Linked DNA regions of Caenorhabditis elegans. The protein of the gene in region 3 interacts with the protein of the main gene of each other region in a pairwise test. Each region holds a gene or a part of one and is shown on either strand. Other genes may lie near its edges.

Region 1 (7,581 bases), on a different chromosome or scaffold from region 3:
TTTTGAAAATCTGAGTTCAAATTTGGATTCTACAGTGCAAATAACCTCAAATCCAGCATTTTCAGGTTTTTGTGCAAAATCCCGTCAAATTCGGTGCCAGGCACGCAAACACCATGCTACAGTAACCCCGGGACACCGAATTTTACGACATATTGCACTAAAGAACTGAAAATTGGGATGAAGGGGTAATTTGCTACGAGAAATCCGATTTTGAGCTCAGAATTTAGGAATTTAGAGTTGTTTCATCAATTTTTCCCCATTTCCAACTGCTCACCCACTTGAAGGCACATATGATTCTGCTGTCGGTCGTGAAATCGAATCATTTCCGGTCCCATCGCCTCCCATCTGCCAGTTTTTTCCCATAATTGCTGTGTTCCGACGATCGGCATCGCGATTTTCAGAGCTCCCGAGTTCTGAAATTCCACGTCGAGAATTCGGCACAACTTGTCGATTACACGTTGTCCGAGGGGCAGGAGACTGCAAAAATTCGCATAAATTTTGATTTTTTGTGAAATTTGAAGCTCAGAATCGGATTCTACGTGGAAAAATACTCTTAAATCATAATTTTGAGAGTTTTAGTGCAAAATGTCGTCAAATCGGATGTCCCGGGGTTACTGTAGCCTAGTGTTTGCGTACCAGACACCGAATTTGACGGAATTTTGCATAAAAACTTTGAAAATGGATGATAAGCGGTTATTTGCCACGTAGAATCTGAATTTGAACTCAGATTTCTGGAAAAATTGAGAAAATCTCGAATTTCGAAAAAATTTCAGCGGAAAAATAATTATTTGACGGAAAATCGTCGGTTTTTGAGGAATTTTTAATTTTTTAATTAGAAAATTAAATTTTTTGCTAGAATTTTTTTTGGGGCTGTTCTACGTAAAAATCTAATTTTCGAACTGCAAAATGAGGTTTTTTGTGGAAAAAAAACCGTTTATGGAAAAATTTTGGGCATTTTTGCGCTGAATTCGACAATTTTCAGTTGTTTTTCCAATTATCTCAGAATAATAAATGAAACTTAAATAATTTTCAGCAAATTTCACTTCGAAAAACGATTTTCAGATTTTTTGCGCTAAAAACTGAAAAAAATCCAATTTTCCTAATATTTTGCACAATTTTTGACATTTCCACAGCTTTCAGGACAATTTCTTGTGATTTTCACGATTTTTACATCAATTTTCACAAAAAACTCACCTATAAAATCCTTTCGCCGTCGGCAAAATAAATCCATTCTCGACGAGCATCGTATGAGCCATACTTTTGCTTTTTTGAGCACTCGCACCACTTAAAATCCATTTTCTCGCTTTAAAAAGCATTTTTCATCTGGATTTCATGGAATTCTGCAAGAAAATCGGCGAAAAATCAATGAAATTGAGCAAAAATCGGGGCGAGCAGCTAGCTGGAATAAAAGTGTGCAAGCGCGCTCCACCGCACACCGGCCGGAAATTGTGGGTTTTGGATGGAAACAAAAGGGAATAAATGGGAGAAATAAACTAAAATAGGTAGAAATTAAGAAAAAAGATTTTAAATTTAATAAAAATGCTTGAATTCCAAAAATCTCTCTTGAAAATTGATTTTTTTTCTTTATTAATCGCTTAAAATTCAATTTTCCTACTAGAAAAATTAAAAAAAAAATACACAGAAAAGAAAGGAAATCGTCTAGAAAGTGGTAAAAAACAGTAATTTCAACCGAAAATCGATTATTACAGCACTTTTGTGTCCGATTGGCGCAGTGAGATTCTCGTCGCCCACCAATCACAAGACCGGGGTTCAAGCTCGCGCTGTGGCAAAAATTTTTTTCAGCTTTTCATTCGATTTGCCATAACTAGTAAAGTACTTCCCGAGTCGAAAACCTATTTTTTCGAAAAATTTCAGAAAAAAAACACAATTTTTTACTTATAAAACGTTTATTTTCGCAAGCACGGAGGGTTGGAGATGGGAGGAGCTTGTAATAAATTAGAATAATTAGGAGGAATTGGGGGGAGCTGAAACAGAAGTTGGGGTAAGAATGATGGGATTGAACAAAGAATTATTAGAAAAATGAGAGATAAAGGGGTGGGGCTAGAAATAGGGGGGCGGAGTTTATTACACAGAAAGAAAACCAAAAAAATTGATAATTCTTATTAGTTAAAGAATTAGGCGTGGGGTGGGATTTTAGGGGGGGGGGGGGATTAGAAAATTTAAAAGAGCAAGTACGCTCTACTGCAAATAATAGCTGTTGGAGCCCATCATCAGTGAAGTGTTGTTGTTCGGTAACTGTGGAGACCAAATCGGATGCGAGTGAAGCATGTCGAGCTCGTGAAACTGATGATGATGGTCGAGAGCCGATTGGTAGCTGAGCGACGAGTTGAAGAGACTCTGAAAATGGAGGGAAATTTGAATTTTTTAATTGAAAAAATAAAAAAAAGCTACTGAAAACTGCTTTTTGAACACTTGAAACTATGAAAAAAGCATTAAAATTTAGATTTCTGGCAGTTTGCAGCAAAATGTCCAAATGGCGCAGTGGGATTTTCGTCGGCTTCCAATCTCAAGACCGGGGTTCGACTCCCCGTCGTATCAAAATTTTTTGTTTCGTTGCGATTAGGTTTTACAGTGTGCTCAGATGTCATGGGGAATCGGTATTAATCGAAAATTTAGGGATTTTCGAAGTTTTTCAAATTTTTTCCCATGTTTTCCGCGAGGAAAAATAAATTTATCAAAGATTTTCGAGCTCAGGACACTAAAATTAACCTAATCGCACTTCGAAAAAAAAAGTTGCCACAGTGGGGACACGAACCCGGGTCTTAAAATTGGCAGGCACATGGGAAATCCCACTGCGCCATATGGACATTTTTCGCAGAAATCTGGATTTTTGGAAAGAGAAACCGGAATTTGATGAGAAAAATTGTTGAAGGCTGATTTTTAAGTAGTTTAAAGATGAAAAAGTTCACTTTTAGTGGAAAAATTGAGCAAAAAAAAAAAAGTCAATTTTGGTTCAAAATTTCCGTTTTTTTTTCTGGATTTTCTCAAATTTGAAATTTTTTAAATTTACCGAAAAAACGTCGCAATTCTCCTGATCGACGAGCGAGTCAGTCTCGTAACCGGACGAGGACGGAGATCCCGGGCGGCGCGTCAAAGAGCTCAGGCTCAGATGGTGGTGGTGATGGTGCTCCGACGAAGAATGCACCGAATCGAGATGATGATTCGCCGTTGGCTTACGATACTTCAGGTTGGTCACCACATTCTTCTCGCTACGATCCTTCTTCTTCAACTCCAACAGGGTCACCGGAACCGGGACACCGCCGGAAATCACCGAAGATTGGCTTGATTCCTGAAAAAATCGATAATTTTTAATGGAAAAATCGAACCCAGAGCTATTTGTTTGGCTTAAAAATCGATAACTTCCGCTATTTTGAGGATTTTTCAAAAAAGTGCCCAAATGGCTCAGTGGGATTTTCGTCGGCTGCCACTGCCACGAGACCGGGGTTCGAGTCCCCACTGTGGCAAAATCTTTTTGTTTTTTGAAGCATTGTTCTAAAAGGGCTTGGGACTGCGAAAATCAGGCTTTAAGCCGAAAATTCGGTTAAAAAAGCTCAAAAATTACATTTTTTGAGTAAAAACTGGGAAAAATCTGAAATTTCAGTCAAATTTTTGATGTCCGCATGTGTTAAAGCTTTCGCTTAAACAGCTTAAACAAAGCTTAAACAAAAAAAAAGTTGCCACAGTGGGGACTCGAACACTGTTCTTGTGATTGGTGGCAGGTTGTGGAAAATCCCACTACGCCACTCGACCAATTTTTCAAAATTAAGAGAAAATTATCGATTTTTGCGGGATTTTTGGGTTTTCGAGGGTGCTGAGCACGAATTTTCGGTTTTGAAAGCTTTTTTTAAACAGTTTTATTGGAAAAATCCAACTTTTTAAAGAGAAAAAATCAATTTTAGGGTTCAAAAAAATGATTTTTAAAACAAAAATCTATACCTTTGCCTTGATCTCCAAGTGTTGCACATAACCATTCGGTTGCTTTGGCTTCAACGTGAGAATCTGCTTGCGGACGCCTCCGGTTGACGATGATGACGTGGCGGTTGTCGATGACGTCAGAGACGATGAGGTGGACATGTTTCCGCGGTGATCCATGTAGAGTTTTGGATAATGGAATGGCATTATGCACGTGGCGTGATGACAATGGTTCGATGATCGCTGAAAAAAAGGAGAAAAATTAGAAAATCGGCGGGTAGATCAAAAAAAAAATTTTTTTTCGAAAATTTGTTTTAGTGATAAATAAATTTTGGGCATAATTTTTTTATTTTTTGAACAAAAACTTATTCAATTAAACTCTAACTCCATGGAAGTTATGCAAAAAATTTGAAAATTTCCGACAAAATTTAAAATTTAATCTAAAAGTCAATATTTTTCACTAAATTCTCAAGAAAACCAACAAAATTTGATAAAAAATCGAAAAAACTTACATTTTCGTCGAAAAATAAATGGAAATTGACCCATTTTTCTCCTCTTATATGCTAAAATCACCGTGGGAAAATTGGAAATTCCCACGGCAAAAGCGTGGGAAACTGTGCGCTTTCGCGTGGCGGTGTCACACAATGTATTGACTACAGTAGTCCTTTTAGTGGGAATTGCAAATTTTCGGGATCTTCTTCGCGAAAAAAGAAATCCACTGAAGACGCCACTGAGGAAATACTGAAATAAATTGGAAATACAAGATAAACAAGTAAAAACTACAGAAAAAACCTTGAAAATTCAAAGAAAATTGGTAATTATCGTCGAAAAAAACACAAATATTATTTTAAAAAAAGCCGGAAAAACTATTTTTCATTAAATTTCGGCAGAACACACTGCTAATAAAAAACATGCCAACATAATTTTATTGGACCCTTAATCTCTGAGAATCGACAGAAAACAGCGCAAATTCGAGAGATTTCGACTAACAACTCCGGAATTCAAAAATTATCGATTTTTTCAGAGGGAAATTTTCTTCAAATTCCGAAAAACAGACAAAATCGAAAACATGTCTCAAATCTACTAAAATCGATAAATTCTAAAAATTGGTGGCCTTAAGATTTCTAGGCCATCAACTTTAAACCCGTGTAACTCGCCTGAAAACCAGCCCTATCCTAATAATAGCAAAAAATTCAAATTTCCCCAAACTACACAAATCCTACAGTACTCTTACTAATAATACTAATAATACAGTATAACAAAGTACCTCTCCCTTATCACCCACCAACTCCCAACCTAATACCTCTTCAAATGGTAAAATTCAAAATTTCCAAACTAGGGTCACCTACTGAAAATGCAAAACGGACAAAATCACTAAATTGTGGTCTGTTTTTATAGATTTAAGCAAGATTTCAGCAAAGCGGCGACGACTCCTAGAAAAAAAGAAAAAAAGGGGAAATTAGGGGGAAAATAGGAGAAAATGAGGGAGAAAATACGGTTATGTTAACTGCGGTCAACGTACAGTGCTGGCCAAAAAGATATCCACTTTTGGTTTTTTGTGTGTAACTTTTTTCTCAAGCATCCATTTGACTTGAATTTTTCCGTGTGCATAAAGCGAAATGTTACGCAAATTTGCGGACCAAACATTACATGATTATCGATTTTTTCTGAATTTTATTTCAATTTTTTGATTTTTTCGTTTTTCCAATTTTCATTATTTTTTTTGAATTATCAATAAAACGCACTCTGTTTGTTGCTCTGGATTTGTTTGGTTGATAAATTATTTTTAAGGTATGGTAAAATCTGTTGGGTGTAAAAATCTTTCCTTGGACGTCAAGAAAGCCATTGTAGCTGGCTTCGAACAAGGAATACCCACGAAAATGCTCGCGCTGCAAATTCAACGTTCTCCGTCGACTATTTGGAAAGTAATCAAGAAGTACCAAACTGAGGTGAGTTCGAAAAATATTATTTTTTAATAATAAATGTTTAGAAATCCGTCGCTTTGAGAATCTCGCCCGGCAGGCCTCGAGTGACAACCCATAGGATGGATCGCAACATCCTCCGATCAGCAAGAGAAGATCCGCATAGGACCGCCACGGATATTCAAATGATTATAAGTTCTCCAAATGAACCTGTACCAAGTAAACGAACTGTTCGTCGACGTTTACAGCAAGCAGGACTACACGGACGAAAGCCAGTCAAGAAACCGTTCATCAGTAAGAAAAATCGCATGGCTCGAGTTGCGTGGGCAAAAGCGCATCTGGTCTGACGAAAGCAAGTTCAATTTGTTCGGGAGTGATGGAAATTCCTGGGTACGTCGTCCTGTTGGCTCTAGGTACTCTCCAAAGTATCAATGCCCAACCGTTAAGCATGGAGGTGGGAGCGTCATGGTGTGGGGGTGCTTCACCAGCACTTCCATGGGCCCACTAAGGAGAATCCAAAGCATTATGGATCGTTTTCAATACGAAAACATCTTGGAAACTACAATGCGACCCTGGGCACTTCAAAATGTGGGCCGTGGCTTCGTGTTTCAGCAGGATAACGATCCTAAGCATACTTCTCTTCATGTGCGTTCCTGGTTTCAACGTCGTCGTGTGCATTTGCTCGATTGGCCAAGTCAGTCTCCGGACTTGAATCCAATAGAGCATTTGTGGGAAGAGTTGGAAAGACGTCTTGGAGGTATTCGGGCTTCAAATGCAGATGCCAAATTCAACCAGTTGGAAAACGCTTGGAAAGCTATCCCCATGTCAGTTATTCACAAGCTGATCGACTCGATGCCACGTCGTTGTCAAGCTGTTATTGATGCAAACGGATACGCGACAAAGTATTAAGCATAATTATGTTGTTTTTAAATCCAATTGCTCATATTCCGGTACTTTAATTGTCATTTCCTTGCAACCTCGGTTTTTTCAATATTTCTAGTTTTTCGATTTTTTTGAATTTTTCTGAAGTTTTTTCAAAATCTGTTGAACATTTTTGATGAATATTGTGTTTTTAGATTTTGTGAACACTGTGGTGAAGTTTCAAAACAAAATAACCACTTAGAAAAAAGTTACACACAAAAAACCAAAAGTGGATATCTTTTTGGCCAGCACTGTATCTCCACAGGTCTCCTGCACAGGCATTTCATGCAGTTGGCACACCGTCAGAAGGGGGGGGGGCATGTGTTATGTGTGGCGGCCGCTCTCGTGCACTAGAGGAAGGAGACAATGTTATAGCATGTGTAACGGCCGCTCTCGTGCACTAGGGGAAGGAGACAATGTTATAGCATGTGTGGCGGCCGCTCTCGTGCACTAGAGGAAGGAGACAATGTTATAGCATGTGTAACGGCCGCTCTCGTGCACTAGGGGAAGGAGACAATGTTATAGCATGTGTGGCGGCCGCTCTCGTGCACTAGAGGAAGGAGACAATGTTATAGCATGTGTAACGGCCGCTCTCGTGCACTAGGGGAAGGAGACAATGTTATAGCATGTGTGGCGGCTCGCATAAGAGGGGGAGGCAATCTTATTGTCTTTGTATCTCTACAGGCTCACCAGAATATACAGTGTCTCGCTACAGGTTCCAGGCAGATGGCGGCGCATCATCTCCCTCTTCCCAGGAAGGAAGGAAGACTCCGCCCACAACAATAAGATAAAGACCTCTCGTTCA
Region 2 (6,927 bases), on a different chromosome or scaffold from region 3:
ATGAATGATTATACTTTGAAACACCCAAATCAAGAGCCATTCCGACTTCATTTCCAGCATTTGTGTGAATACTGTGAGAATTGATTGTAGCCTTACAGAATACATCGAAGAATTCGCCTTTTTCAATCATTTCCTCTCCTCGGAAGGCTCCCATTTTCTCGAAGATTTTCTCAAAATGAGCCATCTTCTCCTCGTCGTCTCTAAAATTGTGTTTTTGATATTTTTCAAATATCTTAAAACGCCTATTCCATGGCTTCGAAAAGCTGAAAATCGACCTCCGCGTTAATCTAATTTGAATTTCGCGCGCAAATGAGTGCTCCAGTGCACTCGCGCGTGTACTCCTCTCGGACAATTAACTATTAGTTAATATTTTAGATTCCTAGCGATTTTTCGTATTTTCATGATTTTTCATAATTCATTTTGGCTTTTATTTGTAACAAGCATGAACAAAAGTAAGAACATTTATTTTTTTAATCGAATATTAGAAGAATACCATCTAAACAAATAGTTAAAATTCCAATTTTGCTGAAAAATTCGTTAAAAGTATTCTGATTTTTGTTCTATTTCGCGTTTCGCGTTAGCGTTTAGTAAATTGGTATGTTTTCGTGCTCTAGAAAAATTTATACTGAAAAGATACGAAAAGTCGCGACAAAATCTAATTAAATTGACATAATCGTTGATTTTTGACTCTTGAAAGATCCTATTCACCAGTTTTTCAATTATTCTCACCTGATATCAACCTTATGGTCAACCAAACTCGAGAATTTCCTCTCTGCCTCAATTCCCAATTTATCTCCATTTTTCTCCAAAAACTGAATACGATCGATAACTTTTGAAAGGAACAAAACTTCAGTGAGTGGAAGATTTGGGAAGCTCTCAAATTTAATATTAATTCCAATTTTTAGTTAGAAACCCACAGCTTTCAGTCTTTTGCATTCTGGTTTATGAACTAACCAGGCAGTTGCCTGACACTCTTTACTACAATACATTGAGAAATTACATCCACCACAACGAAGAAGCTTCTCTCCTGGAGCAGGACCACGAAGACAGTTTGCACAGAATTCGCTCACTTTTGGATTGAGAACTTGAGTGGCGAACGGTGTCTCGAAAATCTGTAATTTGATTTTTAAGAAATTAAATAAGTACAAAAAAAATCACCTTAATTCTAGCATGAATCGACGAAATTTCGTCTTTCTGAACCAATGGATCCTCCTGTTTTGGCACATTCTTATTCTTTTTTACAGCCATTTTCAGAAGTTTCAGTAGAAAAATAAATGTTCACAAAAAGTGTCGAATAGTAAAGATTTTTCGAGAAGAAACAGGAAAAAGAGGGAAAGGCGGAGAGTTCGCGAGATGTGGATGAGTGTAATCACGGCAAATATTACACACGAGAAGCCTCTTGGAGCACCCCTATGCATCGATCCTTCGAGAAGTTTGTTGAAGCATGTTCAATCTATTCGCGCATGATATTATGTTTCCAGTGATCGATGAATAATGTGTGGAAAATTCCGAAAATCTTCAACTGTGTGCCTCATCCCAATTTGAGATTTAATTTCTGAAATTCCTGCCAATAAATGAATAAGAATAGCGAAAAGTAAATATTTGACATCTTTATTTTATCGGGCAAGATCCCACCAGAGACAAAAGAGCACATGGATATACAGCGAAAGATTGGATGGGATTTGAAATTCACATAATTCGCACAGTTGATTATGTTTTATTAAAAAAGGGAAGGGGATCAAAAAACAGGGATGGTGGTAATATGTAAGTTAAACATAAAATGGTGTGTGTGGCAGGAGCTAATAAGGATCAGAAAGAATTAATATAAAAAAGAAAAACGCTCACACGGAATGCCCGTATTCGTCAACAAAAGAATCAAGAAGAGAACCGCATTTTTTTGGATGATAGTGTAAAACAAGAAGAACATTTGAAGGGGGTGGTAAAATATAAATTAATTGATATTTAAACCAATTTTATTGCTTAGACTGGAACATTTCGAGCGTGTCCCATTTGTTCGACCATTTCTGAACCGGCACGATCGAGTTGAGCAAACCACAGTCGGGGACATCTGAAATAATAATAATTTGAGAAGATTTTTTTAAAAAAATTATTAGATTTTCGAAGTTTAGATATTTAAAAATCGAAAAAATTACGAATTCCAACACAATTTTTTAAAAGAAAATTTTAGGTCGTGTTTCGATAAAAATATCAATTTTTAGATTTCAAAGAATAAATAAAAACATACGTGACTCGTCCTTGCATATCATAAAGTGTATGCCAATTCCATGGGCCATCACATGAGATGAGTGGTTCGAGATTTGCAACTCGTTGGCACAGTTTCACATACGACTCCCAGCAATAGTGACACCGAACCCATGTGCCCGGAGACATTGGAACCGATGCTGCAGACGAATTGGACGTCACGTTGGAATTGTAAGTTGTTGGCATATAATCCACATATCCACTTGAACGCTTCACGTTGGCATATGATAACTCCGACTGAAAAAAGTAAATTTTTATTGAATTTTGAAAATTATAATTTGATTTCTTTAAAATCACTTAAAATTTATTTTAAACTCACCGGCATTGCAACTTTTGGAACAATTGGTGCGACATGTCTCGTGGATCCATTTAGACGACTCGACCCGCTGATCTGGCTCACATTGTTACGGGATGTGCTGGTTGATGGTTGCACTGGTTGCTTGTATCGACAATCAGGCAAAAGAAACATGTCAAGATCCACGTCAACTGATGGATCCATGATTTCGTGGATTTTGTTCTCATTGTCTGACAATGTCAATCCAGAAAACATGTTCTCCGACGAAGAAGCCGACGAAAATCCGGAAGATGGTGTTCTCATCAGTGGTGGTGGGCCAGACGTTTTTCGAGAATTGTAGTGTGTCGGGCGATCAAATGCATGATAATGCTGTTGTTGTGGAATCATTGCACGAACTCTCTTGTTCTTCTCTATATACGTCAAATGCAATTTTTGACTTCTCAGGCCCGAACGTTGTTGGGGAGAAGATGACAAGCTGGAGAGAACTCCGCTATCTTGACTGGATTCCCAAAAATTGGAAGGTTGATTGAGCGGAATCAGCGGCTTGATTTCAGATCGGAGTTGAAGCAGCTGAAATTAATTTTTATTAATTACGTCTATTTAATGAAAAATTATTTATTTTAATTAAAAAAGAGCAAAATTCTGTTTTTGGAGCGCAAAATTCTATTTAGTGACGAAAGCCACGTGAACGGCGTGACAAAAAATAGGTCAGTTTCGACACGTTTATATAAACGAAAAATAAAACTTCCAACTCACTTGCTTCGGCGCCTCGTGTTGCGACTTCGAGTAGGCGATGGTACTACTGCTTTTGTTGCAGTTGTTTCTCTGAAAAATGATAATATTATTATAAAACTGAAGGTAATAAAAGAAATGGAGAAAGTTGGAGAATCGGGATCATCGTTGAAACAATTCAATCGGAAAGAGAAAATACATATTTAATTTCAAAAAAAAAGTGAACTCACTCTTGGAGGAAGAATAAAAGTCGAACACATTGTCTCGCGCGAAGATTGAATAGTCAAATAATTCTTTTGAAATGAGAAAGAACATGGCACCGACGAATAATTGGACAATTCATCGAAAATAACAAGCGTGGGAAAGTTGTCATTTTCCCACGTATTTTCCCACGCCTGGGGGAGGCGTGGGAAAATGCAATGGAGCAAGAATGCAAGAGCTTTTTTGAATTTCGCGGGCTTTAAAAACATTTAAAAACATGTTTTTAATCGACAAAAAGTTTATTTTTAAAGAAAAAACATTGGATTAGTCTGAAAATTGAAAAAAAACCTCAAAATCGCTTGGGCAAGCAATTAAATTTGAGAAAAACGTTCCCAGATGGGAAAGAAAATAGTTTCCCATTAATCGAAGCCGCTCAAAAAGGTGTGCGCCTTTAAGATGTACAGTAACCCACTCCCCTTTCGCAATTTTCTTAAGCTTTTTCTAGTTTTTCTATTTCAAAAATAAGCAGAATTACATGAAAACCTGAAAAATAAGGCAAAAAAAAAATCTTAGCGAGAAAAAAATAACGTGTAAAATTCCTTGCAAGCGGGTTACTGTATTTCTTAAAGGCGCATACCTCTCAACGCGTCCCGGAATTGGAAATATTTCGTTCGTAAAATATAGAAGTTTTAAAATTGGAATGTAAAATTGTCATCGAAGCCTCATCAACCTAAAATCCGAACACTTTCAATCGGAACTAATCTAATTTCAATCGAAATGGGGGAAAAATGAAAAGAGATGAGAGTAATTAGAGTGACTAAATGAAACGATAAAAACTACGACAGTAGGTGGTCAATAACGGCAGGTAGAAGATGAATGGAGACCTCTTCTTTAGGAGAAAAGAATGACAAGATGAATCATTGAACAATACAGCCATTTGTCAATTTGAAAACATTTTGGGAAGATATCTAAGCATTCTCAGATGTTTGGGAAATTGGAACTTATCAAGGAAACATTAAATTTAAACGGAAAAAAGGTTTAAGATAACAAAAAAGCGACATTTCAGACACTTCGAAGATTTTATTATCGTTTTGAAAACGGAACTGCATGAAAATTTTGTTTTAAAAAAATAAAAAATAAAAATATTACCTAGGTACGAAATTTTGCAATTTTTACGACGAAAATAAAGTACCAGGTCTTGAATTTATGTTAAATACAAGCAGGTTTGCGCCTTAAATCTACAGTACTCCTTGAGACTACTGTAGATTCAAAATGTTCGTTTCCGTCGAATTTTCATCGATTTTTCAAAATAGTTTTTCTTACATTTGGCACAATTTATGTGTTTTTTCTAATTTTTATAAATATTTAAGTTTTATAAAAAATTTTACCGAAAACCTACGAAAAAATCTTTGAAAATTCTGCAGCGATCACCACAAAAATGGGCTATCAAAACATTTTTTCGTGGCGAGACCCATCCGAATGGACCTGTGTGCCTTTAGCTTACTTTGGTGCCATACAATAAAATTTCGATTGTAAAGAAAAAACTACAAAACAACGAAAACTATAAAGTTTCCAAAAACTTTATCACTAGGAACGCGATTCAATTCTCACTAACTTTCTTTTTATCAAATCACACTCAAAATTCAATAAACCGATTAACTAAATGGAATGCCGTCAGTAGTAACAATTGAAAGATTATTAAAAGTGTAAACTTCAAGTGCAAGCTCTCCTTCTTATCAGTTTTTTGTCACGTATTTGAACAGATGGAGGAACATGAGAGACAGATTGAGGTCAAGTATTCGAATACTTTAAAGCTGGAGGAAAAATAAAATTTTAGTTTTCTAGAAGAATGCTTACTATTAGTAATAAGTTAAGAAGTAATCTTCTTCTTAAAATCTTAAATAAATAGCGAACATCTTATGTTTCGAGTAAGTGAAAAAGTGTACACAAAAAACCTGTGTGCTATTTGAACTTTATCAGTATGTAAATATTTAGATGGCATTCGGGAGGTTAGAGTAAACCACCCAATATTTTGTTTCTAAACTATTTTACTTACTCACTAAATATTAGTTATCGCGTAACCTTTCGACGGGGGGCGCAACTCACAATCACCCTCTCTCACCCGAAATCGCCTCCGGAAAAGAGAAGGTGGCCTGTGATTCTCAGACTTTGGTAGCTCACAACTTGACTATCTTTTTGCTAAATTTAAAAATTGCAAACTAACATTGTGATAATAATTTATTTTTCTATATTTTTGTAATTAAACATTTTTAATAACTATATAATAAGCCAAGAAAGGTCTATTTAAGTGGAGCGACAAAAACATGGTGCACCCAAGTACTGTTACTTTGTTAACTTATATCTCGGTTAAATTTGCAGGTACAAAATTGAACATAATAAACTTTTCGTTAGTTAGTAATTTTTTGATAAATCAAAACACAACCCAGATATGAGCTCCCAAAGTTGGTGCATGGAGGGGGACTACTGCTTAACTTTGACATCTCATAACTTAATTATATTTTGTTTAATCCTTGGAAAGTTCCACAAAAATATTAATATTTCATTTTGCTATATTTTTGTAGTGAAAACCTTATTGAAATCTATGAAGTGAGCCGAGATGGCCAGGGCTCGTGGTATTTTTCTTTTAAAAAAATTCAGTTAAAAATTAAGAACAAATATTTTTCCCATAAACTACATGCTACAAAACTATTCAGAAACTAGTGTCACGACAAAAAAAGGACGTAATTGGAGTAAATGAAACGATAAAGTGTCAATGGTCGTCCCGAATAACGGGTCGGATGCAGCAGTGATGAATCATCAAAAAGAACACACGACGCCCACTCTCTACTTCTTACCCGTTATGGTTCTATTTGCTGCTGCCCTGCCACGACTGTGTGTGAGCAGAAAAAAGAATAAAGAGAGAGAGAGAGAGAGGTCAAGACAAACATAGAAAACGATGAAGACAGAGAGGGACAGTGTTCTTCTTCTTCCTCTACTTGTTCATTTTCTCGCGCATCGTATCTGCATACTCTTCCACTCTTTGATATCGATATCTCTACGTCTCTATCCCTCTCACTGTCTCTCTCATGTTCACCTTCATATGGACGGACAGGACACCTCGAGCCATAGCGTGTTATTGGTGACCTCGAGAGACAGAGACAAAGTGTCACTACGTACACCCTTTCGCGCGGTAAAAGCAACATTTTGGAAGAGACGGAGAAACTAATGAGAGAATATGAGAACAAGAGGAAGGATTCAAGTAATTATTATGAATAGGGAGACAGAGAAATAAAGAGATTTGAAAAGGTGATAAGTTTGCGAAAACGACGGATTATCTGCTAAATTAGAGGTAAACAGACGCGAATAATATCCCAAGATAGGTCGCATGCCTACCTACCTACCTAGAGCATACTGTAGAATTAATACAATACTGAATG
Region 3 (7,822 bases):
TCCATATGACTACTAATTGTCATATTATACCGAACACTACTAACTTTAGTGGTTTTTAACTTTTAAATCCACTAAAACTCGGAATGGTACAGAACATGCAAATTGTAATTTCAAGAACTGAATGTGGTTTCGAATATTTATGGATTGCTTTATTCTAAAACTGACTCTGAAATATTTTGCATCCATTTGACTACTAATTGTCATATTATACCGAACACTACTAACTTTAGTGGTTTTTAACTTTTAAATCCACTAAAACTCGGAATGGTACAGAACATGCAAATTGTAATTTCAAGAACTGAATGTGGTTTCGAATATTTATGGATTGCTTTATTCTAAAACTGACTCTGAAATATTTTGCATCCATATGACTACTAATTGTCATATTATACCGAACACTACTAACTTTAGTGGTTTTTAACTTTTAAATCCACTAAAACTCGGAATGGTACAGAACATGCAAATTGTAATTTCAAGAACTGAATGTGGTTTCGAATATTTATGGATTGCTTTATTCTAAAACTGACTCTGAAATATTTTGCATCCATTTGACTACTAATTGTCATATTATACCGAACACTACTAACTTTACTGGTTTTTAACTTTTAAATCCACTAAAACTTGGAATGTTTCAAAACACTTGAAGAACGTCCTTCATTCATTTTTTATGTACTGCGTAAAAATCTGTGTTGTTAGATTTTAAAAAATATTTGAGTCCTATTCCTACCTATTGCCACGGCTTCAGACGTCAACAAATAAGGGGACACGTTGCTTACTCCTGATTTTCCACGTGAAAAGTGCATGAGGAAATCGTTTTGTATGATATCAAAGGTTTTAACAATCCCGATTACTTTTTTTTTTCTTTTTTTTAAATCCAATTCCTCTTTTTCCAATCTTTCTATACGTTTCAAGGGAGGCATATTCATTCTAGTTCTCGCAGCACTCTCCATTTCTCGCGTATACTCTAATGTAAGATTACTGTAGAGAATAAAGTGCAGCGAGACTATTCCGAATAGACACTTATCCAATGAAACTCATAGAAGTACAACACTTATAGTATAAGTGCTGAAGAGTAGAGATTGAAATCAAATTTATTTACAGATGCTGTTTCTCGTCTGTTCTGTTATTCTCACTGCTGCCGTATTGGTGAACTGCGGAAAATTTAAGGCTAAAAAAGGCGAGTTTACTGAAGTAATTGGGAGGAACTTACCTTTCATTCTCATTTTATTTTAAATACTCTGTGTTTTCAGTCGAAGAGGAGATTGGTGGGTCGATGATGTTCGCACCGAGAAGACCACCGCCAGGCGTGGAGGCTCGCCCCACAATTCCAACATCAATGGTTTACATGGAGAACGACGACGCCAACTCTACCTGGCGTCAACGAGAGGAAATCTTCGAATAATTTGTTTGTTGTTTTTGCGTAATGAATTATTTTAGTGTTGAAATAATTTTATTTAATTTTTAGAGTTTTCGTGTCCAAATTTATCTGGATTCATTAAATTCGAAAAAAAAAAACAAAACAATGAACAATAAACAGAAAGAAACAATAACACAACTGCATGAAAAGCAATAAAACAACAAAAAAGAAAAGAAAAAACAAAACTGGGCAATGATAAGGGTGGGGATGGCACAACATCGATCTTAAAATCGAAACGAAACCATTGCAACAGTTTAAAATATTACAAAACAACAGAACATAAGTGGGTGGGATGAGATTTATGGTGAGAAAGTTCGCATGAGCCTCAGGTTACCTTCCTCGATTCCATTCTTCTCCAACTCTAGACCATCGTGTTCGGAAGCAGTACTGAAGCAATCCGTCTTGAATGATTCATGTCCCGAAGATTGGAGTCCATAAATCGGATGAGTTGAACGGAGATGGGCAAGCGTCTCGATCATCTTTTTGCCGGATGAGAACCTGAAATTCGAATTTCAAAATATTATTGTGACAATAGTGATAACCTTGACAAGCGATGCCTTTCTTTCGTAACTCTCGAGTGCAACTTTTTGAGCCAAACTTGGAATGAGTTTGCATGGTCATAGCTCCCTTCTTTCGTTTGTCGTCTTCCAGACACAGCATCACAGCAAATAGTCAGCATGCATTGAACGACGTAGTTTCCGAATTGATGGAACATCATGATATCGAGAGCATCTTTTCCAGTGCCCCTGAAAAACAATTTAATTTTTATGTGACTGAAACGAAATTTTTACGGGTGTGGCATGTATCCGTCGAAAATCTCGTCCATCATTTCAGCAAGAAGTTCCATTGGTGCATGTAGGAATGCTTTCTCTACAACATGAGACGCAAACTTTTCCTGGGATAACGAAAGAAGATTGCGCCTGAAATATTAATGATTAAAAATCAAATATATATTAAACAACACTCACATGAGGCATTTCTCTATGATACATTCCCGATATACGGCCAGATCATCATTGGATACAATATGCTGTATTATGTAATTGGCATACTCGTTCGTAGCTAATTCTTGGCACCGATTAGTCACAGAAGTCATGAGGCGTTGGAGTGCTCGTTCACGAAGATGTTGAGCAGCGGAAGTTAAATCAACGTTTATTGAATCAGCAGTGAGTTTTTCGATTATAGTTTGCACAACACGGCACCCATACTTATCAAAACAAATCTGACGGAGGTGCTCTGGGGTTGCAACAAAATCCACGATAAACTCCCAATTCTTCAGTGGGATGACAGCTACGACTTTCTGAATGACGTGATTGGCATTTTGATCAACACAGATTGCGATAAGACGAGCATCACGAGGTAGAGCTTGAACAAGTTTACACGCAAGGGATAAATCCATGTTCTGGAGACTGGATTGGATAACACGACACGCAAATTTGTCCAAGCACATATCTGTCATTTGGGAACTGATGAAGTTCTTCAACTTTTCTTGTCGCTTTATGTTGTCGTCATCATAAGTTGTCAATGACATTCCAATGATTTCTTGTACGAAATAATTTCCAAAGATGTTCGTGCTCAATTTCTGAAAAGAAAAGTCGTGTGTGCTCGCAGAAACTAAAACTTACAAGGAAATCATCTTTTCTCCCAATAACTTGTTCAAACAATTGGAACTTCTGATAAGATGTCAGGCTGCCCTTCACGGCCTTTTCGAGGAACTGGCACCCAGTTTTGTCAACGGCAAACTTCATCAAATCGCCACTATCCAAAACTTCAGAGAGCGACAATCTTGAACGCATTTCACCATTGGAATCCAAGGACCAGGTTGGCAGCACATTGTTTGATCTTGTGAATGATCTAGAGTTCCTCGATAGAGCGGGTCTATAAATAAAACAGAATAAACACTTGAGGATAGTGATAAATTAATTCGAACCTCGAATATTTCAAATGGTCATTTTTCGAAGAACTATTGTTACGATCAATCTCGGTAGAGCAATATCGGACATTTTGTGAAAAATCGTCCGGCTCGAGACGCGAGGAATCCGTATCAGACTGAATGAATGATGAAGTTCGGCTACGCGAGACCGGCATGAACACATTGGGCTGCAAATCAGTAATGAAAACAACCAAAAATTAGCTACTCTAACTTACAAAGCTCTGAAAACTCCGGAGGCTCATCAAATCAGTTAGCGGGGTTGGTGGCCGCGATGTAACAATGTGATTCTGTTGATGGCGAGCATAATTCATCCCATCGTTCATATTGAGCATTGAGAAATACGGGTTGAGAGAGTTGAAGTTCCACATTGATGTCTCATGCTGCGCCATCGGCGAATGTGCGGGAGTATGATGATTTCCAACCTCTGTAGATGTGGGCTTTTGCGGAGTCTGTAAAATTTAGGCCATTTATCAATATTAATGGCTGAAAACCAACTTTTCTGAACTGATTTGTATAGCGCATTTTTGATTGGTCCATGTCGATTAGTTGATAATTTTATTCGAATGGTTACTTATAGAAAAACTATCAATTCACAGAAAATAGAGAATAGGAATAAGAAAATAATATTTCAAATTGAATTTGAGAATGACGAAAGTGTGTCACATACTCTGGTGTTTGCGTACTTTGTCATTGTCTACCGTATCCAAATTGAAATTTTCAAACAATGCGATTTGCTTATTTATCTCTCAAAATTTTAGCATCTCCATGGAGAGATATTCTCTGTTAAAACAGATAAAAAATTGTGGAATATTCCAGACCGTACCGTATAAAATTGATAAAACATTTAAACCTCCCGAAAAGCTATAACCAGTTGGCTCTCGCGAGACGCGAGGGACGATCGTCGTCGACGATCGTATGATTGGGATTGGTTTTTTTAAAATTAATTCATAATCACATAATTCAATTTCCAGAAGACTAAGTCCCCATAAACCTCTATAGAGTTGCATTAAATCTCCATATTCCGGATGATGTTTTGATATTTAGAATTTCAGAAAATATTGCATTGTATTTGGATGTTGTAGGAAGCTTAAGCTTCCTACCGTTTAACCATCTAAAACGCAAATTACGATTGTTTTTCAAACATATTGTTTATTTATAAACTAGAAAACAAAAAAATTCCAAAAAAAGTTACATTCGAATATTTGGGGAATTAACGGGATTAGAAGAAATTTGAGAATCACAATCATTATTCAGGATAACCTGTCAGGGGTATCGGGAAATATTGGTAAGTTTTAGATGGTTTTGGGGAAGAATGGGCGTTTTTGGGAGTTAATATACAAAATAGAAAGGAGAAGCAATAAATTAGATAAAAATAAGAAGAATTATGAGACATTCAAGAAGTAGAAGAAGCAATTGTCTATTGTGATCCAGAAAGGGCGGAGCAAACACTTCGAACATCCCAAATAATAATCACACGATTATGGCCACTGGTAACTGGCCCTCATTCCGAGGGGACAAACTTTTAGGGTGGCAAGGTATTTTTGGGGACAAAGTATCCAAAGTGACATGGTATCCAGTCGACAAAGTGCCATTTGTCTCTGACCGGGCGTATCTTCGGTGACAAACTTTTTCAACTAGTTTTTTTATATATATTTCTTGACCATTTTTTGTTCATATTTTACTGGAATAAGTTTTTAAATGCAATTTTCCATGGATTTTCGGCCTTGACTACTCACAATTGAATGCATGAACAATGATCTTTTGGGAAAATGCTGTAAAACGTCCAACTAACTTGGAATATCGTAAGATTCTTCGAGATGATGACGTCGGATCCTTCGGAGCTGAAGGATCAGAACATCAGGAAGAGCCTCGTGATCCTTTGGAGCTGAAGGATCAGACCATCAGGAGGTACCCTTACGATCCTTCTTATCTGAAGGATCAGAACATCAGAAGGTACCCATGTGATCCTTCGGAGCTGAAGGATCAGAACATCAGGAAGAGCCTCGTGATCCTTTGGAGCTGAAGGATCAGACCATCAGGAGGTACCCTTACGATCCTTCTTTTCTGAAGGATCAGAACATCAGAAGGTACCTATGTGATCCCTCGGAGCTGAAGGATCAGACCATCAGGAAGAGCCTCACGATATTCCAAGTTAGTTGGACCTTTTACAGCTTTTCCCAAAAGACCATCGTTCATACATTTAATTGTGAGGGAATTATAACCGATAATCGATTGAAAATTGCATTAAAAAACTTATTCCAGAAAAATGTGAACAAAAATTAGTTGAAAAATACATATAAAAATCTAGTTGAAAAAAAGGTTGTCACCAAAGATATGCCCCCCAAGATACACCCCAGTTTGTCTACTGGATACTTTGTCTCCTTGGATACTATGCCCCCAAAGAACCTTTGCCACCAAAAAGTTTGTCATCTCGGAATGAAGGCCGTTTGTTCCATAGTTTGTAGATATTTATGTTGCTCGAGAACTTCCGGAAAACAGGGAAAAACGTTTCATCTGCAAAGAAAGGCTCAGAAATTTCAGAATTTGATTTTAATTTTGAGTACGCCAGTCGGAGCACGCGCTTCAGCGCGTGCGAACGGCTGGTTTTTATATATTTAAACTCTCAACGTAAGTTGTTTCCTTTTTTCTGATTTAGCTGATTTTCACTTTTCAGATTGCAACATTGATTACAATTAATGTGGATTATTGGAAAATAAAAAAAACGTGTGGGACAAGATGCACTTGCTGCAGGACCTCTTCGCTCTTCTAAAACACGCCGAGATTATGAAGCACATCGCTAGTTTCAACGTTTCAGTTCATGGAGTGTAAGTGAAGACTACCAATATATTTTTCTTGTAACAATTGATCATTTTAGGGACTGGTCTCTATCCGACATCTGCTTCAAACCAGCTCCACCATCTGTCGCAGCCGATTCTGCCGCTTCCTCGCTTGGTGACGTCATCGATATGATATGCATTTGGATTACTCCAATAGATTATTTTTGCGATGGATCGAAAGCTTTTGAGCCGCATCCATCTCTCCCAAAATCCTCACTCCGATCACTTGGGACGTCGTTGAGTGCGCTGTCAGTTGATGATATGATTCGCTGGTCAGACTTTGGGCAAATACTGTTTTACTACTTGATCTTTTACAACGCATCTCTTTTACTACAGGATCTCTTTTACTACGGAATCTCTTTTACTAAGAATTCCACATCTAGATCTTTTACTACAATTGGATATTTTACTACGGAATCTCTATTTTATCTCTCTTCTTGGAACAAAACATTTTATCTCTCTTCTTGGAACAAAACAAGATTATAAAACTGGGAGAAGAATTAGTCCGTTCCAATGCAAATCAGAGCCGTCATGACAATAGAGAAATATTTGACAACAAATCTGAAAAATAAAATTCTGATGACATCCATACTTCTGTAAAACTCACTCAAACTGAGAATCCAAGCATCAAAATACCGAGAAGTGTGGAGAATGATCCATGAATTACTGGAACAAAAACTCGATCAACTGCAGATGACGTTCGTTGAGATCTTGTTCCGAGCGCCGTCAGGAATGAGACAACCACATGAACAGTGAATTCGACTCCAATTCCAACTGCGGTGATCAAAGTTACGGCTGAAACCGGATTGAGCTTAATTCCAACGAGTCCCATGAATCCGGCAAGTTCGCAAGTCATGATTCCGAGAATACAAACAACCATAAGTGCAGCCCATGGATTAAAAAGAAGAACGGAAATGACACAGAAGACAGAGATGGTAATGATCGAAATGGCTTGCATAAGATTTCCAGTCAAGAAAAGATATTGTTCCCAGAATGTGAATGCGATTCCTTGTGGGAAATTTGGAAGTCCTTGATCGGTAAATCGTTCACAAACACTTCGGATGTCCTTTATGGCATCGACAATCACAGCAGTATCCGTGAGGCCAGTTAAGTAGAATGGAATCTGCGAATATGCAAGTGGCTCAGCAGTTGGGATGAAGTTTTCGGTATTATTCTTGCTCAATTCCCATTTTGGTGGTGTTGGGAAGAAAGTTGTAGAATCCATCAGAGTTGATAATTCCACTTGCATCAACTAGTCGAATCTTTCCTATTCTTCCAGCACACTCAAATAGAGAACCATGAGAGCACATGAGAGCGTGAGCAAGACGAGCATCCTCGGAAACATTGCTGCCAATAACTGTTCCAGATGTAAGATTGAATGATCCTTTAGCAACTTCTTCATCGAATCCGCGTTGAATACTAATGAGCCAGTCTCGCATTAATCCCAGCCAATACTTTTCTGATGGCTCTTCGTTTTTATTTTTAATCACATATTTTGAAGATCCAATCGACTGTCGGTAATTGTCAATCTGGCGTTGCTGGTGAGCATAATCAATGTTAGGTCCCTTGATGACTGCGAACATTGGGTAGAAACTGAAAAAAGAAAAAAAAATGTTTTGAATCAAAAACGAACTT
Region 4 (7,742 bases), on a different chromosome or scaffold from region 3:
GCCAATCGCCCACAATCCCAAAACAGTTGAAAACACAACACAAAAAAAACGAAATCCAAGTGTGCCGATATTGACACACATGCCAAAGTTGACCCAACATGGCAGATTTGTCTTTTCATATTATTATGCATTTCTGCTAAAAATGCAGAAATTGAATTCGTTTTTTTTTTCGAAACGAATATGACTCGATAACAGATAGGCGGAAGTTTTTCTTGATTAATCAAAAATGTTAGCCCTTTTTTGTTGCTAGTTTTCACATGACGACAAAAATTTTTGAACCGAAATTCGATCATCTGACGTTTTGAATTTCTATTCATGTAATATTTATTACAGATGATAAAAAAGAAAGCGAAATTGACACATAGGCTATCACGATAGTCTCAAAAATTGATAGATAAAAGGTCGAAAGTGCTAAAATATACATTTTTTCAAAGCGGATGATTCAAAAAAGAGAACACACACAAGTTATTGGCAAAGTAGTTTGTGAAGTTATTTCACACATATGTAACATTACTATCAACCATCGAAACATGCCAGATCTTAATGCAATCAGAGAGAAGTTCTAGTACAAACGAACTTTCAAGTAGGCAACAAGAACGGATGTTCATGTCGACAATTTTTTGTAGTAGGTAAAGTTATATTATTATGAAAATTTACAAATTTTGGAAGTTTTCTGAAGTAAAACTAGATTCAAAGGGTAATAAATACAAACGGAACTCGTAAAATTAAAAAAAAACGTATTTTGTGGTAGGTATTCCTTCTAAAAAGAAAAGTTATCCCTCACAGAAAGATTGGAACTGCACAAACATAACTTCAAAACTTCAAAACAGCTGAGTTGATCCATCTTTCCTAGTCTCTAACCTTTACTACAACCTCCTATTGACGAGATCGGAAGGAGGAGAAAAGAAATCAGAAAAACACCAACAAACGCTCTGTGTGTTCATCTCTAGAGGAAGAAAACCCGCGAAATCACTAATAGAAGTGCAGAGAGATAGGCGGTAGGAAAAAGAAACTTGACGAAACTGCACGTAAAGCATTTTGTCTGTTGGATTTCTTCGGAAATGTGGGAGGGAAATGAACTTAGTTAGCAGGTAGGGCGAGAAGAACCAGATCGCAGGCAATCATGATAGATATACAGGATGGAATTGCCCTTACAATTAGAATCGGCATTAAAAAATTCTACATTAACATATTGACAATGTGCTTGCCTACTCGGTCCCAATTTGGTGCTTTTAAAATTCAATTTTTTTTTGAACCAATTGTATTTACAATGTCGCGAGATGTTTCGAAAAAGAAGCAATAACCAGCGTTCGCTTATAAGGGATTTGTTCAGCTGTTGAAATTGGTATTCACGAAAAAAAATCCGAAAATTATAGGAAACTGAGAGATTTTGAGATTCCCATACAACAATTCTGTAATAAGCACACATCCGATGACCGAACACAAAAACCTTAAATAAACATAGAAATTAGAAAAAAATGTTGGATTACGAAACACAGGATATGTCATATTATCGAAAAAATACGATCGCACAATTTTCTCATAATTTATTTTTGATCTACCTTGTTGAATAGGCTCCTCCCCTTCCTTCGACAATACAGCCACAGCAAAATAACAACGGCAACAAGATTGGGGGCGGAGTCAAGTTCAACAGGTAGATCAAAAATAAATTATTAGAAATTTGTGCGATCGTATTTTTTCGATAATATCATTGAAGCATCGAAAAAACTATATTTTTTCATGAACATCTATCAACAAAAAACCAATTTTTTTCTTGCAAAAAAAACGAGTTTACAGTAACCAACTTCCAAAATAAATTCAGTAAGTCATTTGTCTACATGATCTGAGTGCTAAACGACTTAGATGTATAATACACACAGATCAAGCCATATGTATAACATTTACACGCCCTTTCACTGTACCTCGTATCTCCTTTTCTCAGCTGTGTCATTTCTAACAATAATAATAAAAAAGGACGAAAAGGAGAGAAAGAAGAAGTCAGAGATACATAGGGACTGCCTGCAGATTTTCACTTTTTTCGTGGTCGGGTGAAAATCACAGTGAAAAAGAGAAAGATGAGAGTGAAGAAAGGTGTAAAGTGAACGGATAAATGTCATTTTACTATTTTAGTTCCACCTGCAGATGATTGGTAAGTTTATGAATTTCATTTGAAATATCTTCGATATTCTTTGTTTATCCGCTCATGTTAAAAAAAAAACTTTTAGTCCAATCAAGTGGAACACGCAACTTTTTAGATGCAATTTCCTAGCTGGCCTAGGTAGAATATATTCCTTGTGTTCATAAAGATAACATAATTCGACACGAACTATAATTCGGTCTCCTAAATATTATCCGATAGTCACTAAACTAATCATAGTTAAGTTCAAAAATCGAAACACTACGGGTATGATCAAGACGAAACACAGAAAATAGAGTAGAACAATAAAGATGTTCAGATCTGGAGATGATATCGTTTACAAGAGGAATGTCTCGTAGGCGTTGCCATTGGAAATGAAAAACTTCAATTTTGTCTAACTATTGACAATATAAACTTTTTAATCTATGCAAAATTACAGCCGCTGTTAATCGTGTTATTGTTTCCATTTTATGGAATTAGAAACTAAAAAATACAAAAGAAAAACCTGACAGAGGAAGTAAAACCGAGAAATTTCTAGAGACAAGATGATAAAACCAACAGAAAAGTGTATGTTTAAACTAATCGTAAGCAGTCTTGCAAAAAATCTTCAGAATTTATAAGTGTAAACTTGGTTTTTTGAGAAATAACATCAACATGAAAGTTGTCAAGTTACCGTTCTTCTCAGTTCTATAAAAAAATAACCACGAATTCTTGAATATCATGGATAAATGATCCCTTGAGTGTATTCCGAAAATTATTAGTTTTTCTTAATAGTCTAATATCCGATTTTCCACCATTGATTGTTGTTGATGATGAACTGGTTATGCTTCTAGTTACTAGACGGAGGACATTCTCTTTGAACAGTACAGGAAATGAGATGAGAAGATACGAATAAATAATAATGAAGTGACAAGGGCAGAGGACACATTCCAGCAATGTCATTCAAGATAATTATTAGTTAGCTGATGAAGCCGACAATGAGTTTCCCCGAATCTCAGAACTAGTATCAGAATAACGTGGGAAATATATAATTATATACTGGGCAGAAGACAGAATTCAGCATTTAAAGAACTAAAATTTAATTTGAAATAATTTGAGATTTGTTCCAACTAACCCGATTAAAGCACTTTGCATACGCTCGTTAGCGAAACACGGGTGTTTTGCATCGACACTGTCCGTTGGTAGTTCACTTGCAGAAGCTGAAAAAAGTAATTGAATAAAACATAAAGTAGAGCTTATGACTTGAACCAACCTCTAAACTGTGCAGCCCTCTCATAAGATGACACAGTTTTCTGCTGATTCGTCTGTACAATATCAACTGGCATCGTTTGATTGGCGGTCTTATGCTGGAGCTCTATTGAGGCTGGCATTGGATCCTGCCCTAAAAATATTACTTAGAAAATTTTTAAATGAAAAAAATAACACTCACCGCGTCTGAATTGTGGAGGAGGATGTTGAAACCGCGTCGGCCAATCCTCTGCTTGTTGCTGCTCAATCCGTTTATCGGAAGATGATGGTGTAGACGGAGGTTGTGGTGGTGGCTGTTTGTACGGAGATGGGCTATAAATTATAATTTTTAGATGAGATGAAATTAGATTTAGATAAAATACAAAGGCTCAAAAATTCTCCTGTAAAATTTAATTATCATTTCCCAAAACACAACCGCCAAAAAATGCCACTCTTTTCGAAGCAATAAACCATCTGGGCATTTATGGTAGATCAAATGAGAAACCTTCAAATTCGAAATACAGGCCTGGAAAACAAATTTACCATTGAGTATATCCACCCGGTGCGGTGCCAGCCGACCTGTACAAATGAATTTTAGGATCATGATTTTGCTCATGATCGCTTCCTTGATGATTCTTATCACTAGCTGGCTCAGCGTGCCTGAGCAGGATTGGAGGCTGCGTCGGAGCTCGGTTTGATGTGGAATTCGCTGTTGAGCTTGATAGAGCTGATGGAGATGGTGGCGATGACCGACGGACAGAATATGTGCCGTAACCTGAAAAAAATTTATTTATTCTTCATATTAGTTCAGATTATTATTTTAGGGGAGATATGTAAGGCTATTAATCTAAAATTATGTCAATCACAATTTCCTACCCTGGGTCGAGTTAAAAATTGGTCTCTGATGTGGTTGGAAGTAGGAATACTTTGGTTGCAGTTGAGGGTAACTGAAATACCGATTTTAATAGGAATAGCAAAAACGAAATTCGATTTTCTACTTTTGATTCCTTTGATGATATTTTGGGACACATCCCTGATTCCCAGAATACTCGCCATTCTGTTGATAATTGCTATTCCCGCGATGATTGTAACTGCGTCCGCCGCGCTGGTTATTGTAGGTTTCTGAAAATGAACAATTTGGTAGCAAGTCAATAATTTTTCTGACTGACGTCTTTTATTTCCTGAATGGTTGTTGTAGTATCCAGTGTTCCCATCCCTCGAAAAGCTTGTACGTCGTGGATGCGATTGCTGATATTGATGGTTTGACTGCTGATTATAAAATGCAAAGCCCCCACTTTGCTGCTGCACACGGCTTACTGAATCGACTGAAGGAGATCTGTTGCGTCGAGTGTGTTCGTCTGAAAAGATAAATCATAAATTAAAAGAATGAGAAGGTTGAGATTGGCTCAAAAATCGATTCTCAATTTCAAATAAAGTTTTGATTGAAAACTCAGATTGCTCACCGTTTCGTTCTGCATTTTTCTGCTGTTGAGCCATAACCATATTGGCGACAAAATTAGACGGATATCTCCGACGGAAATCGTCGGAAAAACTGCCAGAAAGCGAGCTGAAAAGCGAAGTTTAAATCAAATTTCAGCGCCTTTTCAATGCGTGGCGTTGGCGCTCGCTTACCGTATCTCGCGGCGAGACCCATGCACTGTGTCAGGTATTGCGCCTTTAAGCTGTGAAGAAAAAAAACCCTTTTGGCGTACGGTAGAATTTCCATGCGCAACTGAGAAACAGTTCGAATTCGGCAAGTCGTTGTGTTCTTGATTTTGCTGCATTTTCAGGGTAAAAATTGAACAAAAAATTAATTCAAAAACTAACGAAAAACGGAAATGATTCACGTGGAATGGTCACGTCGATATTCGAAAATGCGACGTGGAATTTCTTTTCGTTTCATTTTAAATGGTTTCACTGCTTCTAAACGAAAATAAAAATAAGATGAATTTTATCCAATATAATGTAAGACAATTGCAATAATTAATTGTATAGTTAGTGAATTTAAAATCCTTCAATATGAGAAATAAATGATTTAGGCATCAAATTCCACGTTGTTGTTCATTTTGATTGCCGTGAAACTCTCTTTTCCATTGGAGTCTTTCCCGAAATAATTTTCAAATACTGCTACCTTGATATTATTGTCAGTTGACAATATAGCACACTTTCGGTGTCCGGAACCCATAAAAGTTCCTCGCGAGTCTTCATATCGTTCCAATAGGGTTCTCCAAACGTTTAGAAGAGGTTCCTTGATGAAAATTGCAGTGACAGATGATCCTATGTGAAGGGTGTCGAGAAGAAGACGCTATAATACGAGAAATAAAAGGAGCAAATACCGGCGAAATGACTTACGTTACAAAGCAGAATAAAAGATTCGACGTAATTCAGTCCCAAAACCAATTCCAACTTCATATTGCTCAGGATACAATAGAAATTTCTGATGGCACTGTTCTCGTTTCCAACGGTGTACTCCTGGTAAATTGTTTCCTTTTTTAGTACAAGGTGTTTGCAACTTTTCACCTTAAAAACGTAAATTGAATGAAAATATAGACCATGCGTTTAATACCTGGGTTTCCGTCAATACGATCGATTCGTAATTGATTAATTCTAATTTCTCAAAAACATGGTTTTGGAAATTGATGAATTGAGGATATTCTCTAGCTCCGTTTAGAGTCCAAGAAATGGATGGAATTTTTAGGCTTTGAAGGTTTCGAAATGGACTGTCACTTTCCTGAAATGTAATTTATAATCAACAAGAATAATCGAAAAATGAATTCACAAACCCTGAGTTTGACATGCTGAACAATTCGTTGTGAAGCGGCCAGGTAATAATGAAAATATCTTCTGATTATTGACTTATCATTCGAGAATCTCACAAGTTCCGGGGCCAACAAACATTTGATTTTCACTTGATCCATGTTCTCATCGTATTCAAAAATATATTCAATTGACTCCACCTTCAAAATTCCTGATCCTACTTCTATTGGTCCTTCTTCACTGATTGCTCCGTAATCCTGAGAGAATGACATAGTCTTCAGTGAATAGTCTAATCGACTGTGAATTGATCGAAATTCTGGAGAAACTTTCGAAAGCTCCATTCTATAAAAAAATGTAATGCTTCACTGTTTTTAATCAGAAAAAAAAAATTAACGAACCTCTTACTGTAACTGAGATATGGGACGATTTTTAACAAATTCGGATACTGGAGAACACGTTCGGTGGTCATGATGAAGATTCAAAAGTTTAGAAATCACAAAAAATAAGCATTTCCATCTCTTCATTAGTACGCAGTTGAAATTATGTTTCCGCAATCGTCGCGCCTGCGCCCGTAGGTCAAAAAAGATTCCAGAGATGTCGCGTAATCAGGTCTACTTTAAATTTAAAACATAGTTCTCCTGTAATTTTGCCATAAAGCGTATGTATTATGCTATAGATTTAAAAACAGTCAAGGCTATACGAGAACAGTTTATTGTATGAAAAATTCAAAGACTCGAAAAAAAGACTAATCTCAAAAAAAGTAAAATTTAAAAAAAACATGTTACAGACTTGTAGAAAAATTATCTCACAGATTATCAAACTAGACAGGCATTGATGACAGTGACAGAAAATGGGTACACTATAACAAATTTAGTAGGTTAATAGAAGTAGCTACGTCCAAAGATTGTAATTAGAAGACGAGTGAAAGGGATGCCGGGTCAACCGGGGAGAGCGATAGGGGGAAGGTGCACTTTGGATCAAATTGAAGTAAATATTAGGTGAATAATACAATGAAAAGATAATTTCATTTTAAAAAAGATATTAGCTCACGAACCAAATATTAATTTTTGATTTAAAACTCGAACACAAAATTTCGAAATATGGCATGAAGAATTGATTTTCAATTATGAAAACTGGTAGCTTAATAAAAATAGTTACAAGGAATAGTTTTATATTCAATTGACATCAGTTCCTCTTAGAACTTTTCGAATTTCGCATTTGTTCGATTGCTCGAATACTGTCTTCTTTTTCTTTGATAAGTTGTTGGACACGTTCGCGATGCTTTTTATCCAGATTGTATTGGTCGGCTTTTAAATTGCTGATCTGAAATGTTTCAATCAATAATCTAAAACTGGAATATAAATCATACTTGTTTATCCTTATCAAAAATAAGTTGATCTTTTTCAGCGAGCAATGTTTTCAGTCGGCGAATCTCGTCTTCCATTTTCTGTTGCTTCACCATACTCTCTCCGGGATCACGATCTCCGAATGGAGGGAATCCATTTCCATTTTCATTGTTTGGAACTAGAGGTGGAGCTCCACCAGACGAAGATGTTCCGTTGTTACTGTTATTATTGGGCTCTTCTTGGTGTCGCCGTTTGTGAGCATGACGATGATTGGA

Evidence for each region.
Region 1: the proteins of fbf-1 (region 3) and sygl-1 interact in a two-hybrid assay, tested with the Caenorhabditis elegans proteins (one study listed by BioGRID).
Region 2: the proteins of fbf-1 (region 3) and lst-1 interact in a two-hybrid assay, tested with the Caenorhabditis elegans proteins (2 studies listed by BioGRID).
Region 4: the proteins of fbf-1 (region 3) and gld-2 interact in a two-hybrid assay, tested with the Caenorhabditis elegans proteins (one study listed by BioGRID).

Annotation. Positions count from the first base shown.
Region 1 is NC_003279.8:12,480,776-12,488,356, reverse strand, and holds sygl-1 (Ecdysone-induced protein 74EF), read right to left. Parts: upstream 4,549-7,581; 5' UTR 4,446-4,548; intron 4,177-4,445; 5' UTR 4,141-4,176; coding exon 3,958-4,140; intron 3,311-3,957; coding exon 3,032-3,310; intron 2,359-3,031; coding exon 2,200-2,358; 3' UTR 2,122-2,199; downstream 1-2,121. Other genes in the region: pars-2 (putative proline--tRNA ligase, mitochondrial), read right to left, coding at 279-477, 1,195-1,316.
Region 2 is NC_003279.8:10,585,134-10,592,060, reverse strand, and holds lst-1 (Lateral signaling target 1 protein), read right to left. Parts: upstream 3,561-6,927; 5' UTR 3,550-3,560; coding exon 3,520-3,549; intron 3,389-3,519; exon of another isoform or gene 3,383-3,388; coding exon 3,314-3,382; intron 3,128-3,313; coding exon 2,582-3,127; intron 2,500-2,581; coding exon 2,246-2,499; intron 2,069-2,245; coding exon 1,981-2,068; 3' UTR 1,597-1,980; downstream 1-1,596. Other genes in the region: Histone-lysine N-methyltransferase set-18, read right to left, coding at 1-200, 730-875, 918-1,112, 1,159-1,248. UniProt on the Caenorhabditis elegans protein: Plays a role in germline stem cell maintenance, perhaps acting in concert with mRNA-binding factor fbf-2.
Region 3 is NC_003280.10:6,076,834-6,084,655, forward strand, and holds fbf-1 (Fem-3 mRNA-binding factor 1), read right to left. Parts: upstream 4,011-7,822; 5' UTR 3,888-4,010; coding exon 3,846-3,887; intron 3,800-3,845; coding exon 3,566-3,799; intron 3,518-3,565; coding exon 3,348-3,517; intron 3,296-3,347; coding exon 3,043-3,295; intron 3,000-3,042; coding exon 2,386-2,999; intron 2,338-2,385; coding exon 2,209-2,337; intron 2,164-2,208; coding exon 1,960-2,163; intron 1,916-1,959; coding exon 1,717-1,915; 3' UTR 1,430-1,716; downstream 1-1,429. Other genes in the region: H12I13.6 (uncharacterized protein), read left to right, coding at 1,102-1,177, 1,251-1,402; F21H12.3 (uncharacterized protein), read left to right, coding at 6,087-6,175, 6,226-6,673. UniProt on the Caenorhabditis elegans protein: RNA-binding protein that binds to the consensus sequence 5'-UGUGCCAUA-3' in mRNA 3'-UTRs. Involved in the control of stem cells and sex determination in the C.elegans hermaphrodite germline.
Region 4 is NC_003279.8:6,367,154-6,374,895, reverse strand, and holds the start of gld-2 (Poly(A) RNA polymerase gld-2), read right to left. Parts: upstream 5,149-7,742; 5' UTR 4,997-5,148; intron 4,932-4,996; 5' UTR 4,868-4,931; coding exon 4,828-4,867; intron 4,723-4,827; coding exon 4,534-4,722; intron 4,487-4,533; coding exon 4,363-4,486; intron 4,312-4,362; coding exon 4,241-4,311; intron 4,140-4,240; coding exon 3,908-4,139; intron 3,698-3,907; coding exon 3,567-3,697; intron 3,519-3,566; coding exon 3,390-3,518; intron 3,337-3,389; coding exon 3,252-3,336; intron 55-3,251; exon of another isoform or gene 1-54. Other genes in the region: ZC308.4 (F-box domain-containing protein), read right to left, coding at 5,400-5,669, 5,717-5,884, 5,931-6,095, 6,148-6,463, 6,520-6,590; K04F10.7 (Protein FAM76A), read right to left, coding at 7,307-7,444, 7,491-7,742. UniProt on the Caenorhabditis elegans protein: Cytoplasmic poly(A) RNA polymerase that adds successive AMP monomers to the 3'-end of specific RNAs, forming a poly(A) tail.